Linked DNA regions of Alligator mississippiensis. The protein of the gene in region 1 purifies or fractionates together with the protein of each later gene. This does not show direct contact. Links are inferred from orthologs where the notes say so. Each region holds a gene or a part of one and is shown in the gene's direction. Other genes may lie near its edges.

Region 1 (7,553 bases):
GTTGCCCCCTGGGGAGGTAATCCCAGCCCAGATGCCTGGGAGGGTAAATCCAGCCTAGAAGGCCCAGGGGGGGAGCACTTCCAGCCCCGATACCCCTGAGGAGTAATTCCAATTCAGAGTTTCCTGGGGGGAGCAGTTCATGCTCCTAGAGGGGTAATTCCAGCCCAGATGCCCTCAGGGGGGTAATTCCAATCCAGATTTCCCGGGGGGGGGGACAGTTTTAGCCAGATGCCCCCCACTAGGGGTAATTCCAACTCAACTCAGGTGCTCCCAGGGGCAATTCCAGTTTAGACGCCCCCAGGCTCCGCGGATGCTGGTCCGGGTCATTGCGGGGGGTGGGGGGGGGAAGGGTGGCGCGAGGGTCCCCGGTCAGAGCTGCTTGCGGGGCGCGTGGCAGGCGCGGTAGACGCCCCGCAGGATGCGGTACATCCAGACCAGGTTGAGGACCTCCAGGGCCAGGCTGGGACCGATCCAGGCGGCCTGCACGGCCGGGCCCAGGCGGGCGTACTCGGGCGTGCCGTGCCAGGCCAGCACGCGGGCGTAGTAGGTGGGGATGACTGCGATGCGCACAGAGAAGAAGGCCACGGCCATGGCCACCCCGTTGGCCCGCACCGGCCCCGAACCCCGCGGCCACCCTGCCGCCTCCAGGAACCACCTGCCACAACGGGGGCTCTGTCACTTTAAGAAGACCCGCCCCCTCCTCCGCGCCAGGGGATTGGCTGAGGAGAAAGGGGGCGGGGTTTCGCTGTCTGAATTTGCTGAGAGCCTGCGCCTGGTGCTGGGGGAGAGAAGTGACTCCCCCAGACTGGAGCGAGGTCCGCCCAGGGGCAGCAGAGCTGGGGAGGGGGCTGTAGGACGGGCCAGGCCAGATGCCCCCAAACTCACCGCAGGTTTACGAAGGGGGTCGAAAGCTCGGAGAGGAGGCGGAAATTGGCGAAATACGGTAACACCCCGCGGTTCTGGAGGTGAAGGACACCGTCAGCCCCTGCCCAGCCCCTCCAGGACCCGGTACCTCTCGCTCCCAACCCACAGCCCCCCACGGGCTGAAACGTGCCTCTCACTCCCGACCAGCAGCCCGCTGCTCCCTTCCCTCTGCCCCAGCCGGTGACACTCACTCCTGACCCGCAGCCCTTCCCCCCCACACTGACCAGCACGTAGCCGTAGGCGTACAGCGCCGCCACGTGGTGACACACGAAGAGCGCGTCTCCCATCGTCTTCCAGTAGCGGCCGAGAAGCAGCAGGTCTAGGGGCGGGAGTGAGAAGGAGGGGTCACCCCCCTGGGTCTAGCCCTTGCAAACACCCCCGGCTGCTCTGGGGTCCGGAGGGGGGGCTCAGACCTGCTTCAGAGGGGGGGACCCCTCAGCTCCAAGGGGTGGGGGGGGGGGCACGTACCATAGAGCAAGTAGCCGCTGATGATGGCCACGTTCAGCTTCACTAGGCGGGGGTCGCCCCTGCGGGCACAGGATGGGGGGGGGTGAGCTCATGGACGGCAGCTCGCAGGGACCGACAGTACACCCCCTGGAGTCCCAGCTTCCCCCTCAATGCCAGGCCCCTGCCCCCCCCCCCCTTCCGTCCTCCCCCCCGGTCAACTCCGGCCGCGGGAACAAGGAGCTCTTTCTTTCCCAGCACAAAACGGCTCTTCATGCCCGCGGTGCCATGTGACGCCCGCCCCCCGCCCAGGCCTGGCACCTCCTCCCACGCTCCCCACCTTCTTGCCACGGCTGGCAGAGAGGGCCTGGGAAAGCTGCCCGGCTCGGGGACTTGGCTGCGGTTACAGAGCGAGGGGCTGCGGGTCGGGAGTGAGGGGCACTGGCAAGGCTGGGGGGGGGCAGGGGGCTGCAGACCGGGAGTGAGGGGCATTACCAGGGCTGGGGGGGTCTGCGAGGCGGGAATGAGGGGCACTGGGGGGCGGGGGGGGGGGTCTCACCATATAGGATCCGCGTTCACGGCCGCGTCGTACCAGAGGATGTAGAGGCAGAAGCTCCCGACCAGCAGCGCGTGGAGAGTGGACACGCACCTGGGGGCAGCGCGGGGATGTCACGGACAGACAGGTCACCCCCGCGACATCCCTTGACGTTCGGGCCCAGGGAGCCCGGACACCTGGGTTCTCTACTGGCTCCGGGGGCCCGATCCTGGCCGGGGGAGGGGCGGTACCTGGAGTCCCACTCGATGCGGCGGGCGGGGGGCAGCGCGCAGTACGGGGGGCAGAGCGCCAGCGACAGCCGGGGGCTCACGGCCGAGAAGCAGAACTGGAAGCCCACGAAGCTGGCGGCCACCACGCAGTAGCCGAAACGAGTGGAGTCCTCCATGGCGGGGGGCCTGTGGGGGCCCGCGTCAGCGCCGACCGGCGGGGCCCCTCACTCCTGACTCGCAGCCCCGCGGGACCCCTCACTCCCAACCTGCAGCACCCTCTTTAGAGCTGTTGATGCCCCTCACTCCGGACCCGTAGCCGCCCCCACCCCCGACGGTCCCTGGCTCTCGCTCTCCCGGGCAGCCGGAGCCGCGGTGTCCCCAGGGCAGCGGCAGCGCCGCGGAGATGCCAGCCTTGCCCGGGTGGGGGGCGGGGACCTCCTGGGACCAGGGCCCAACTGGCGCCCAGCCCGGTGCTGCCCCCTCCCTCCCCCGGACCTCAGCCCCCTCCTCGGCTTGGGGAAAGGACCCAGAAGCCCTCGGCCTCAGCCCCACCCCGCCCTCTACCCCTTTCTCCCAGCTCGGGGCAGAACCCAGGAGTCCGGGCTCCCAGACCCCCACGTGCTCCCAGCCGCCCAGAGGACCCAGGGTCCTCCCAGCCCTGCATCGCTGTCACCGAGACCCGGCGACCCTTGTCCGGCCACGTGTGCGGGGTTGAGCGGAGATAATCCCCCGGGAGCAAAGGCCACGGCTGCGGGGCGGGGCGGGGGGGGGTTGGGAGCCCGGACGCCTGGGTCCCACCCGGTGACGTGACTTGCCCCAGGCGGGCTATTGCCACACACGGCGGCGGACGAGCTGGTGCCGGCTCAGGACCGCCGCGTCCCGCCTCGCCCGCCTGCGCCGCATGACCCCAGTCCCGCGTGGATCGTGTATGTGTGGCCACGGGGGGGGAACAGGCCACTGTCACTGCTGCTGTATGCAAATCTATGCAAATGACACCTCACTGACAGGCAAATACAGCGCGGCCCTGCATTCCCGCGTGGGGAACTGGGAGCGGGTGCCGGACCAATCGCTGAGAGCAGCGCCTCGTTGGTCTAATTAATATGCACCCGCGGAACTGCTTATTGGCCGCGGCCTGGATTTGGCAGTGACAGGGGAAAATGAGGGGGGGCGCTGATTGCATATGCAAATGAGGAGCCAAAAAGCTATTGACACGAGCCGATATTCAAATAAGGCGCAGAATCCCGATGAGCCGTGATTTGTTCCGGCACATTATTTGCATAGTGATCGTATGCAAATGAAAGACAGCGGTTGCGGGAGCTCCTTGCATATTTAAATAAGGGGTTGGCGAAAAATGTGCGCGGGGGCTTTTTTGTTTAACAGCGGAATATTCTAATGAGGGACTGGACGGCCAATGGCGTGGGCGGGTTGGCTGTTTAATATTAATTGTTATGCAAATGAGGCCCGAGGTCCCGTTCCAGTCCACGTCGCTCCCACCCGAGTCACGCGCGGGCCTTACTGGGCGGGGTGAGGGGCTCCGGGGGGTGGGCGGGCACCAAGCGGGTAATCCGGGGAACATCCCAGAGCCGGGGGTGTCACGCGTGGGGTGGGGGAACGGCAGTGCGGGGCTCCTCCCATGTGGGCTCAGGCTTCCCACCCCACCACCGCTCCGCCCCCGGCACGGTGTACCCACCTGCCCGCTCCTGCGTCACACGAGTCCCGGCCACGCGTACAGCCCCGCCACTACCACATAGAGACCCCCCCACCCCAGCTGGGAGGGGGAGTGGGGGCGCTGCACCCAATCCCCACGCAGGACACGCCCACCTCCTGGGATAGCTCCGCCCCTTCCCCGCGAGCCGAGGCAGGTTCCCGGGGTGCGGCACCACCTGGATGAGGGGAGGGGCCGGACGCCTGGGTTCTTTCGCAGCTCTGGGATGGGAGTGGGGTCTAGTGGTCACGGCGGCGCCGGCTGTCCCCAGGGCACCTTGCCCGGATGCGGGGCGGGGGCCCTTTGGGACCGGGACACAGACGCCTGAGTTCCCGCCTGGATCTGGGGGGCGAGGGGCCCGGCCCGGACGCCTGGGTGCTGAGATGCAGCCCAAACGCGCAGCCCCACGGATGCCTCTGTTTCCCACCCGCCCTCTCCGGCGGTGGTTGTGCGCTGGGCGGGGGCGCTCACCCCCGCGCCGGGCGGGGCGCGGCAGCCTGTTCCCGGTGGCCCTGGGCAGGCTCCGACCGGCTGGGTGGGGGCGGGAGCGGGCCGGGTCACCGGGAAACTGAGGCACTAGGCCGATAGGCTTGCGGGAGGAGGGACCCAGACGTCCGGGTACCCCGCCCCCTGGCGAAGAGGGGCGGGGCTTCTGTGCGGGGGCGGGGGCCCGCTGAGGGGCGGTGCGCTCTGATTGGCTCCGTCTTCTCGCGCTCGCTCCGCCCCCTCTCTGTGCACCGGAATTGGTTGCCGTTGGGGGAGGGCAGCGGGGTCAAGATGGCGGCTTAGGGTGAGGTTCGGTTTGGTTGTCTTGGGGGCAATTGCAGGGCTGGGGTGCGGAGTTGGGATTCAGCGAGGCAGGGGTCCTGTTCGGAGGTGAGGGCTATTGGGATGGGTCTTGCCTGGAGTGTCCTGAGGCCAGCGAGCATGTTGGGGGCAGGGAGTGGGGCCTCTCCGGGGGCGCTGGGAGAGCAGGGAACTCTCGGCTGCATGTTGGTTGGTTTGAAGGAGGGTTGGAGTGTGGACGCAGGATGCACGTGCCTGCACTGTGTGTACATGTGCGTGCCAAGCCAGGGTATCCTGGGGGGGTATGGCCGAGCCAGGGCCCTCCATGGCTAAACCAGGCACTATTTGGCTCTGTCCTAAGTGTGACCCAGCTCCTGCACCTGTCGCGGGTCCCTAAAACCCCACCATGAACAGCATGTGGCTGCTCGCCGCAGCCCGGGGCACACTGTGGAGGGCAGCGCTGGGGCGGGATTACACCTGGTTGCAGAGCCCTGGCTGTGTTCAGGTACTGGGGGCAGTGCAGGGGGCTGGGTTTGAGGTGGGGTGAGGTAGGGGCTTGGTAGGGGGGGCAGTGGAGGAGGCTGGGGTAGCATGTGGGGCTATAGAGATTCAGCAGACTCATGACATAAGGGAGCTACCCTGTCCTGGGTTATCCACCCCAGGGCAAGGAGAGGGCATGTTGAGATACCAGGGGTGGTGGGGAGTAGAAGGGTTTGAGATAGGACGGAGGGTGAAGGGCAGGGGCTCGTGCGGGCGGCCCTTGTGCCCTGCTGTCTCTGTGCTCTGCAGGCTTTCTGGACAGGGCCCCTGCGTGGCTGTAGCAGTGGCTCGAAGCTGACCCTGAGGCCTGGGGATGATGGAGATGGGGAGCAGATACCGCGGGAGCTGGTGCCCTTTGAGAACATGTTCCGGCAGGCGGCCCAGCAGGGCCGCAGCAAGGCAACCTGGTGCCAGGTGGTGGAGGCCTTCCAGAACCGGGACGTGCGACGCCGCGAGCATGTGGAGTTCATATACACAGCACTGCGGCACATGGTGATTTTTGGTGTGGAGCGTGACCTTGACGCCTACAACTGCCTGCTAGATGTTTTCCCCCAAGGTGTCTTTGTGCCCCAGAACTACATCCAGCGCATGTTCCACCACTACCCGCGCCAGCAGCTGTGCGGCATCCAGGTGCTCGAGCAGATGGAGACCTATGGTACGGCCAGCTACTGGGGGTCTTGGAGGGCATGGGGATGCGTGGTTTAGAGGAGGTGGGGCTGAGGCCAGGACACAGGTTATATGCCAGTTGTAGGAAGGAACTGGGAGGCTGGGCGTGTTAAAGCAAGGTGGGCTGAGAACCCAGACACCTGGGTTCCATCCCAGTTGTAGGCGGGGAGCAAGGTCTGGTAGGTTAGAGAAGGCAGGTGCTAGGGCTAGGATACCTGGATTCTGTCCCAGTGGGTTAGAGCAGTGAGGGCTGGCAGTCCAGATACCTGGGCCCAGTCTAGGAGACAGCAGGGAGCTGGTTAGGTAGAGCAGAAGGGGTGGGGCAGCGCACTTGGGTTCCATCCCAGTTATAGGAGGGGAGCGGGATCTGGTGGGTTAAAACGTGGGTGCTGGGAGCCTGGACGCCTGGGTTCTAGTCTTCCTTTGGGAGAGGGTGGGGAGCTAGGGAAAGGGCTGGCTGGGAGCCCAGACACCTGAGTTCTTCCCCAACAGTGCCAGCAAGGCTGTCCGCACCCTCCATGGATTCAGCCTGCAGACCAAGACCATCAGTGTTGGAGAAGGAGGAGCTAGAGCAGGGGGTGCTCAGCCCAGACACCTGGATTCTGTCTCCAATCTGGGAGTGGAGTGGGGTTTGGTGGGCCAGAGCAAGAGAAACTGGGAGTCTCGACGCCTGGGTTTCATCCCACCACTGGTTCAGGGTGTGAGTGAGGCGCATCGCTTGGCTAGTCCATGCCTCAGCTTCCCCCACTGTAGCAGCACCCCAGCACCAGGGAGCCCTGCCTCAGTGCCCGCCCTTTCCTGCCCACAGGCATCATGCCTGACCAGAAGACTAGATTCCTGCTGCTGAAGATCTTCGGGGAGCAGAGTCACCCTGCATACAAGTACCAGCGCATCATGTACTGGTTCCCAAAGTTCAAGCACATTAACCCCTACCCGCTGCCCGATCCCCTGCCCCGTGACCCTGTTGACCTGGCACGGCATAGCCTAACCAGGATCGCTGCTGATGCCAGCGCCCGTGTCACCATCTACCAGGTGAGCCCATCCCTGGCTTCCCTGCCTTTCCCAGAGCCCTCCTGACTCCAGGCCACGAACCCTGTGGTCTCTGGTGGGGGAGGAGGGGGGGTACCAGGCTTCTCAGCCCTGCTGGGGTGGCGGGGGGGGGGGGGGGGGGTGGTCTACGGTGGGTGGGAATGGACTCTGCCCACAGGAGACGAGAGAAGGAGCAATGGGTTTGCACTATAGCAGGGAAGGTTGAGGCTGGAGACAAGGCAGACCTTCCCTTTTTGCAGGGAGATTTGGTGCTGGGACAGGCACCAGGGATGGTCTGGGCGGGGACCTCCAAGTGCCCCAGAGCTGGGCTATTTGGGATGGGATGCAGGGGCTAGGCTGGGAGTGACCCCTGAGTGCCTGGCACTGCTTTGTGGGTCTCATAGCACTCATGTCCCTGCAGATGCCCTTGCCAGAGCAGGAGGATCCAGGGATAGATCATGCACAGCCCTACATTGTAGGTAGGGATTCCCGCAATTGGGCACATTGTTGGGTGGGGGGGGCAGTTACGTTGGACCAGGGGATAGGTGCTGACAGGAGGGCCTACCTACAGCCATGGGCTGGTGAGAGGCTGTAATGGACCATGGCCTCCCCCCCCCCCCCTCCGGCCGCACATGATGTAGCACAGTGGTTCCTAATCTGTAGTACATGTACCACCAGCGGTACAGAGACCACC
Region 2 (7,698 bases), on another chromosome or scaffold:
AAGTCCTCTGCTGCCTGTGGACTCCACCCTGCCCGCCTTTCCCCCCGCCCCACTCCCACCCCTGGACAGCCTGCTGTGCAGGGAACCCAGGTGTCTGGGTTGCGCACACACGCACACACAGATGTGCATGCACACACGCACAGATGCAGACACACACGTGAGCATGGAACCCAGGCGTCTGGAAAATCCCCGCCCTTCCCCATCCCAGTTCTCCCAGTCTCCCCCCAGTGACCTGATCCCAGTGCCCCCATCCTAATGCTTCCCACCACAGTGCCTTGTCCCCTCCATGCCCCTCATCCCAGTGCCCCAGTCCCCCCATCTCAGTGCCCCATCTCACTGCCCCCAGTGTCTCATCACAATCCCTCCCACCCCAGTGCTTCCAGTGCCCCATCACAATCTCCCCACCCCAGTGCCCTCATCCCAATGCACTCAGTGTCCCATCACAATCCCCCGTCCCAGTGCCCCCAGTCCTCCCAATGCCCCATCACAATCTTCCCCACCCCCATGCCCCCAGTCACCCTAGTGCTCCCCATCTCAGTGCCCCCATTGCAATGTCCCCCACCCCAGTGCCCCCATTCCCCCCAGTGCCTGCACTCACAAAGCACATCAAAGGTGGCTGGGAGGGACTGGGTGGTGCCCAGCTCATTTCAGGCCTCTCAGGCGTAGGCACTGCAGTGCTGGGGGCCGGCACTCAGCTCCAGCACAAACCCGGGCAGAGGGGTGATCATTGTGGTACCAGGCCCAGGCGGGTGCAGGGCAGCCCCCGCCTTCCCTTCCCCGGTGCAGCTGAGCCGCACACCCGTGACCTCCAGCACCTGCCCCTAGGGCTCCAGCACCAGCTACACAGCCTCCAACGGGTCTGCAGGCAAGGGGAGGGTTTTAGAGGGGTGGGCAGGGCCTGTGGGTGCCTGGGTTTGGTGAAAGCCTGAGCCTGGTAGTGCCAAGGATGAGGCCTGAGCGTGCTGGACAGGCTGGGGGAGTGGGGCTTGGCGTGATGGGTAGGGCCTGGGGTGGGTGAGAGCCTGCACCTTAAATCAGAAGAGGTGGGGCTTGAGGATGACAGACAGGCAGAGTGGGCGGGACCAGGGAAGCAGATGCCAGGCTTGGGCAACAGCCTGAACCCAGGGCTACAAATGGGATGGGGCTTAGGCTGATAGACAGGTCTGTAGCTGCCATTTTCCTGCTTTCCTGCCCACTGGCCGCTCTGGCATTACGTGGTTCCTGGCTGCATTGCTAGATAGCGGGAGCACAGGGCCCACACCAGTACCCCGGGGCCTGGAACAGGAGTTGGGGGTAGGGGGCAGTTTGCCTGCACACATCCATGCAGTGAGAGAGGGGGAGAGAGAGACAAAGCAATGACAGAGTATGCGTGTTTATAGGGCAAGTCACACACCCCACTATATACATACACCCACCCTCGCTTGCATTGCCATACACACAGACCCCCACACCCACTCCCCCTCCCACATCTCTGCCACCCTCTTCCCCACACACAACCTCCCACAAACCCCAAACCCACCCACACCCCACATATCCACATACACCCACATGCTCCCTCACCCCACGCCTATCCACCCCCACAGAATCCTCCCACCTCCACCCTCCCCCACACCCCGCATACCCACAGCCCCCCACAAATCTATATGCACCCCCTGTGCCCCACCCAATAGACAACCATAAGACTTCATTTTAAGCTATTATACAATCACCTCTGTGTAGACTCAGCAAGCACATGTAAATCAGGACAAAAATATTTTTGAAACCAAATTAATGCATGTTTTCAATGTTTGATTTTTAAACTATAGTTTGGTACTTTTCTGGTTCTGAGATGGCAAAACCCCTTACTGAAAGGACAGACAAGGTTCTTTTGGAGGCAAGGGGAAGGACTTGTGCATAAACGACCCGTGCCCCTGGCAGCTGGTGGGGCACAGTGGCAGGGGGAGCATGGCGACAGCAATGGGAGGACAGTGGCGGTGAGCGGGGAGCTCCTGCAGCTGCCACCGGCAGCATTGGCGGCAGCCCATGGGGATCGCTGACCGCCCACAGACGCCACTGGCAGTGCCGGCGGCAAGGTGGTGAATGGCAACCACCTGCAAGCACCTTTTTGGAGGGGATGCACTGCCATGCTCAGGGGGTGCATGTGCACCTGCGTACACCCCCTAGGCATCACCCCTGGACTTCTGGTGGCAGGCGGCAGGACTTCCAGTCCCAAGATGATGACCAGGGGGCGGGGCACCTGTTAATGGGTGGGGCTACCCATGTGGCCCTCAGCAGCTTGCCAGAACCCGAAAATAATTGCCCGCCCCTGGTTTAGATGCTGCAGCTGTCTATGTTGGTTCCCCCAACACCTCCCACTACCTCCCCCACCCACCTAAACATACCTGTAGGGGGCGCTGAGGCAGGGAATCAGGGGTCAAGTGAGGGGAACCAGCAGGGCTGGGACATAGGCGAATGGTGCCACCTTAGCCCAAAATCACTTACTGGGTTGGACTCGGGTGCTGGGAGTGCCTGTGGAGGCTTGCCATGGCCTGAGATGCGCCCAGCTCTGGGGTGGAACTGGCGGGAAACAGTCAGTGACCGTCTGGGACAGGAAGTGGGGACCTCGGGCCAGACACGGCTGGGGCAGGTGCTGTCATGGGCAGATGTGGAAGTGGCCCAAACCAGGGCCTAAGCAGGATTCAGCCTCTCCCTGCTGTTAGGAGAGAGATCCCAGGTGTCTGGGCTTGCACAACCCCCTGCTCTCACCCACCTGCCCCTGTTGCCCAGAGATCCCAGGCGTCCGGGCTCCCAGGGGATAGAAGGTGCATGTGTCCAGGCCCGCTTGTTAGACCCGAGGCTGCTCATGGTGCCAGACTTTTAATCGCTCCCTCTAGCGTCCATCCATCCATGCCTCCCTCCCTCCCTCCATCCATCATCCATCTTTATATTCATTCACTCCTCCATCCCCAGAGGCCCCCCCTCTTCATCTGTCCATCCATGCATGCTCAGATGCCTTCTTCAGATGCGGGTCAGGAGTGACGGGGCAGGGCTGGGGGGAGCAGGGGCTGCGGGTTGGGCGTGGGGGGCACGGGCTCACCCCAGCCCCGGCCCTTCCTGCTCTGTTGCAGGATACGTCTGGGGACGAAGCAGCCAGAGGTGAGAGCTCAGCCCCCACACGGCCGCCCGGATGCGACCTGGACCCCCGTCCGGCCCTGCTACATCGGGGGCCTGGTATCTCAGCCCAGCCTGGTATCTCCTCCCGCTCTTCTGCCTTGATTAGCCCCATGGCCACGAGCAGGGGCTGGGTCTCCCCACTGTGTCCCCCCTTGGCGCGATGCTCAGGAGCCGCTCAGGGTCTCTGGGGACAAAACATAGGAGGCTTCAGGAAAGATGGAGCCGCAAGGGCCCCTGTATATGTAAGAGGGCAGCAATGTGCTGGTTCCCCTGTTTTGGAGCTGATTTCCTTTCCCGGTCACCATCAAAAACCTCCTAAATGCTTGCGTTCGGCTGCATCTTTTAGGAAGTCAAGAGAAGAGGGGAGTTGTTGCGTGTTTGCAGCTCTGGCCGAGAGGGGGCTGGTGCAGGGTACCATGAAACAATGGAGAGAGGCCGAGAGAGGAGCGTGTGGGACTAGGCAGGTAGGTATGTGCATAGGTGGATGGATGGATGGATGGGTGGATTGACGTAGCGCAGAAGGTGGGCTGCATGGGGATGGATGGGTGGGTGGATGAGTAGATAAATAGACCGATAGACGTGTCGGTGGGTAGAAGGACGAGTGAATAGACGTGTATAGGAGCAGATCGGTGAGACGGTGTATCGGTGGCTGGAGAGAGAGGTGGGGAGCGGGGCGGGGCTCGGAGCAGGCAGGCCGGGCGGGAGCGGGTCCGTGGGCTGTGGCGCGGGGGGAGGCAGCCGGATCGGGGTCTCGGGCGGCAGGCGAGGTCCCGGGCCCCATAACATCCACTGTGGGGGCCACAACGATCCTAGCTGGTGCTCTGACATCACAGCGAGTGTTATGTCATCCCCTGGGCTGCAATGTCATCTTGGGTATGACCTCATCAGCGCAGGGCTTTGTGACGTCACCCACGGCGCTGTGGCATCATGAAGGCACCCACAGTGCTGCTCCCGTGACAGAGCCAAGATGGCCGACCTTGCGGTTGCTAAGGGCAACAAGTATCATTCCCCGCCTTAGAACCACCCAAGCCCCAGTCGTTCTCGAGGGTTACATTAGGATTGGACTAGTGCCATGTCAATCAAATCGAGTGGCCAATTATCTGAGAGAGAGGGCGGGCGCTGGGACACGGAGTGCCGTTTTCCTCCCCCAATAGAGTGTAAGTGAACGGAGATTGACAGGAACTATCTAGCCAATGAGAAAGCAGAGGCGGGAATTCAGAGGGACGCAACCAATAGGATTTAAAGGAAGGTGGGGTACTTTGAGCTCTCGCCCAATGGCGTTGTGGAAGAGGCGGGTGCACTGGCCCCAAACCCAATGGCGCTTGTAGCGCAGAGGGGACGGACCAAGTGTCATCCAACCAATTAGAGCGCGGGCTGGATGTGGCTGACACACCCCTTCGGCCAATCACATCAGGGGAAGCGGGGAGACACTCTAAGTGACCGCCAGCCCAGCCAGTGATAAGAGAGAAGGGCAAGACAGGGGCCCCGGCCCAGCCAATCAGCGCGGGGCCACCCCTGCAAGGCGGCTAAGGCGTCCCCGCGGCTCTTCAGTAGCTGGAGCCGGGAGCAAAGATGGCGGCGGCCGACGGCGACGACTCGCTCTACCCCATCGCGGTGCTGATCGACGAGCTCCGCAACGAAGACGTACAGGTACCGGCGGCGTCGGGGCCCCTTAGGCCGCACCGGCGTCCGCCATCAGCCCGGCGCTCAATCACGCGCCGCGTCTCATTGCCGCAGCGTGGTTCGGGGCATGAGAGGAGGTGCCTCATTGGCCGCCGGCGCCCCTCGTTGGAATGAACGCGGGGGGACCGATGTGGGGGGGCTCGTCTGAACCCCGAAACCCCTTCGGGGGAATGAGGAGCCCCTTGATTGGGCGGAGCAGCGCCTATCGGGGCGCCCCTCACTCCCTGGATCCTCTTCGGCGTGAGAGGAAGCCCCTGATTGGCTCAGAGCTTCGGACTGGGGTCAGTGAGGGACGCTGTTTGTTGTCGAATCCTGCATTGTCTTTTGTGGGATGGGACGAGCCCCCTGATTGGCTGGCATCCCCCATTCATTCCCGTGAGACCCCTCATTTCCTTTTGGGGGAGGTGCTGAGAGCAGTTTCTGATTGGTTGTTTGCTGGAGATTATAGAACCTATTGGGGGGCCTGATTTATTGCATTGAGGGAACAAAGTGTGTGTGGTGGGGGGGGGGGACAGGATGAGAGGAGTTGACTGATTGGTTCTTCCTGTACCCGTACCCCTGTACCTCTATGGGGGCCAATTGGAGGGGCTGTTTCACACTAGGGGTCCTTTTGAGGCGGGGGGAGGGGGGGTGATTATAATGGGTTCCTGCCTATGAATGGGTGGTGTAAGGCTCCTTCTTTTTAGGTGGGGTGGGCAGAGCCTATGGGACCAATCCTGGCTTGTTCCCTGTGGTAGATCCATCCTAGGAGCCAATCAGAACCTTTCTCGGTGTCACGCCTGGTCTGGTTGACTGCAGGAGGCTTCCTCAGCTGCCAATGACAGCCTTTCCCCGCTCTCCTGGCATTCCCTGCTATTGGCTGGGATCCCATGGTATATTCCTGCAGGGCGGGGCTTGTAGCAGCCAATCGGAGTTTTCAGCCATAAAATGCAGCCTTCTCAGCCGCCCGCCCCTCCCCGGGATGGGGGCGTGGCCGGCAAGGCTGTCCCACCTGGTTGGCTGGAGCAGAGGTTGCTATGGGGGAGGCAAGTCCTCCCCACGGTCTGTGGGGGGAGGGCAAATATACCCCCCACCCCTGGGGGGGGCAGTTAGGGGATCTGCCCCAGTGGGTGGGGCTTCTGGGGTGGGTGGGGCTATATGGGACTGGCTGGGCAGGTTGGACCAGCTGTGACACAGGAAGGGGCGGAGCCATGCAGGGGCAGGGACCTGGTCTGTCGCAGGACACCCAGGTTCTCTGCCCGGGGCCTAGGGCAGAGCTGAGGGTGGGGCCCGGACGCCTGGCTTCTCTCCAGCTCTGCGGGGGGACACGCACATTAGAGCCCCCGGCTCATCCTCAAACCTGAATCAATGCGCCCCTCCCCCCGCCATCCCCAATCACTCCTGACCCGCAGCCCCCTGTCCCCCAAACCTAGCTGGTGCCCTCAGGCCTCCCCTCCCCTCCTGCCGTAGCAGGGACCTGGTGCCCCCCGTGTTTAACCATTGATGTGCCAGCCGGGCCTCAGTGCCCCCGTGACCTCAAGGAGCCTTTGCCCATCCCCTGTGATCCCCACTCTCCCCACAGCTCCGGCTGAACAGCATCAAGAAGCTGTCGACCATCGCGCTGGCGCTGGGCGTGGAGCGCACCCGCAGCGAGCTCCTCCCCTTCCTCACAGGTACCCACAGGCCTGGGTTCTCTGGGAGGGGGGAGAGGCTGGGGGGTGACAGTCCGGGGTGCTGGGAGCCTGGATGCCTGGGTTCTTCGGGGGGGCAGAGGATCAGAGCAGGGTTGGGGGGCTCGGACAGCTGGATTCTTCGGTTGCTGTCAGCAGCCTCTGTCCCTCTTCTCCCCCCGCAGACACTATCTACGATGAAGATGAAGTGCTGCTGGCACTGGCCGAGCAGCTGGGCACCTTCACCGCCCTTGTCGGGGGGCCCGAGTATGTGCACTGCCTGCTGGTACGTGCCCTGGTTGCCTGGGTTTTTTGGGGGGTGGGGGGGGATGGTCCTGGGAACTTGGGCAGTGGAGCATAGTTGGGCAAGGGTGCCCGGATGCCTGGGTTCAGGGCTGGCTCTGGGATTTTGGGGCATGGTCCTGGATGCCTGGGTCCTTTCCCAGCTCTATATGGCCCGTGGGCTCCCCTTGCGGGGGTGTGGTGGTGCCCCCGGACACCTGGGTCTCTGTGGCCAGGATGGGGCCGGATCTCCCAGACACCTGGGTTCAGTGTTGGTTCTGGGAGGTGGGGAGGATTCTACAGGGCCTGCCCTCCCAGATGCCTGGGTCCTCCCCTGACCTGAGGCAGAGAGGGGGCAGGACTGTTGGGTGGGGGGGCAGGGCCTTTTAGGGGGAAGTTGACCTGGATGCCTGGGTTCCCCCCGGGCCTGCCCCACCCTGCCCTGAGCTCCCGGATGCCTGGGTCCCACAGCCACCGCTGGAGAGCCTGGCAACAGTGGAGGAGACCGTGGTGCGGGACAAGGCAGTGGAGTCCCTGCGGGCCACGTCCCATGAGCACTCGCCGGCTGACCTGGAGGCTCATTTCGTGCCCCTAGTGAAGCGCCTAGCGGGTGGCGACTGGTTCACATCCCGTACCTCAGCCTGCGGCCTCTTCAGCGTCTGCTACCCCCGCGTGTCCAGCGCCGTCAAGGCTGAGCTGCGCCAGTGAGTGCCTGTCATGGAGAGGAGGGAAAACTGAGGCTGGGGGGTGGTACAACCATGGTGGGGGGGACTGAGGCAGGGGGCAGGGTGATTTGGGGGCAGAAGAGAGGCTGGGAGGGGTGGGGATGTTTGGGGGCGGCAGGGCCATGGCGGGGGAAACAGATACAAGGGGTCATTTTGGGGGAAACAAGCTGGGAGTGGGCAGAGCTGTTGGGCTAGGGCCATTGGGG

What was found. Proteins that work in one complex are often made in the same cells at the same time.
Region 2: the proteins of ECSIT (region 1) and PPP2R1A purify together in Homo sapiens (affinity purification with mass spectrometry; 3 studies listed by BioGRID and IntAct, with this or other methods). This does not show direct contact. The link is inferred for Alligator mississippiensis from reciprocal best matches to the Homo sapiens genes ECSIT and PPP2R1A.

The regions. Positions count from the first base shown.
Region 1 is NC_081831.1:22,519,565-22,527,117, reverse strand, and holds the start of ECSIT (evolutionarily conserved signaling intermediate in Toll pathway, mitochondrial), read left to right. Parts: upstream 1-4,537; 5' UTR 4,538-4,628; intron 4,629-4,985; 5' UTR 4,986-5,030; coding exon 5,031-5,129; intron 5,130-5,413; coding exon 5,414-5,819; intron 5,820-6,638; coding exon 6,639-6,862; intron 6,863-7,280; coding exon 7,281-7,338; intron 7,339-7,553. Other genes in the region: TLC domain-containing protein 4, read right to left, coding at 370-655, 886-959, 1,149-1,243, 1,393-1,451, 1,928-2,017, 2,155-2,309.
Region 2 is NC_081838.1:29,895,000-29,902,697, reverse strand, and holds the start of PPP2R1A (serine/threonine-protein phosphatase 2A 65 kDa regulatory subunit A alpha isoform), read left to right. Parts: upstream 1-4,689; 5' UTR 4,690-4,725; coding exon 4,726-4,803; intron 4,804-6,397; coding exon 6,398-6,488; intron 6,489-6,670; coding exon 6,671-6,771; intron 6,772-7,238; coding exon 7,239-7,471; intron 7,472-7,698. UniProt on the Homo sapiens protein: The PR65 subunit of protein phosphatase 2A serves as a scaffolding molecule to coordinate the assembly of the catalytic subunit and a variable regulatory B subunit.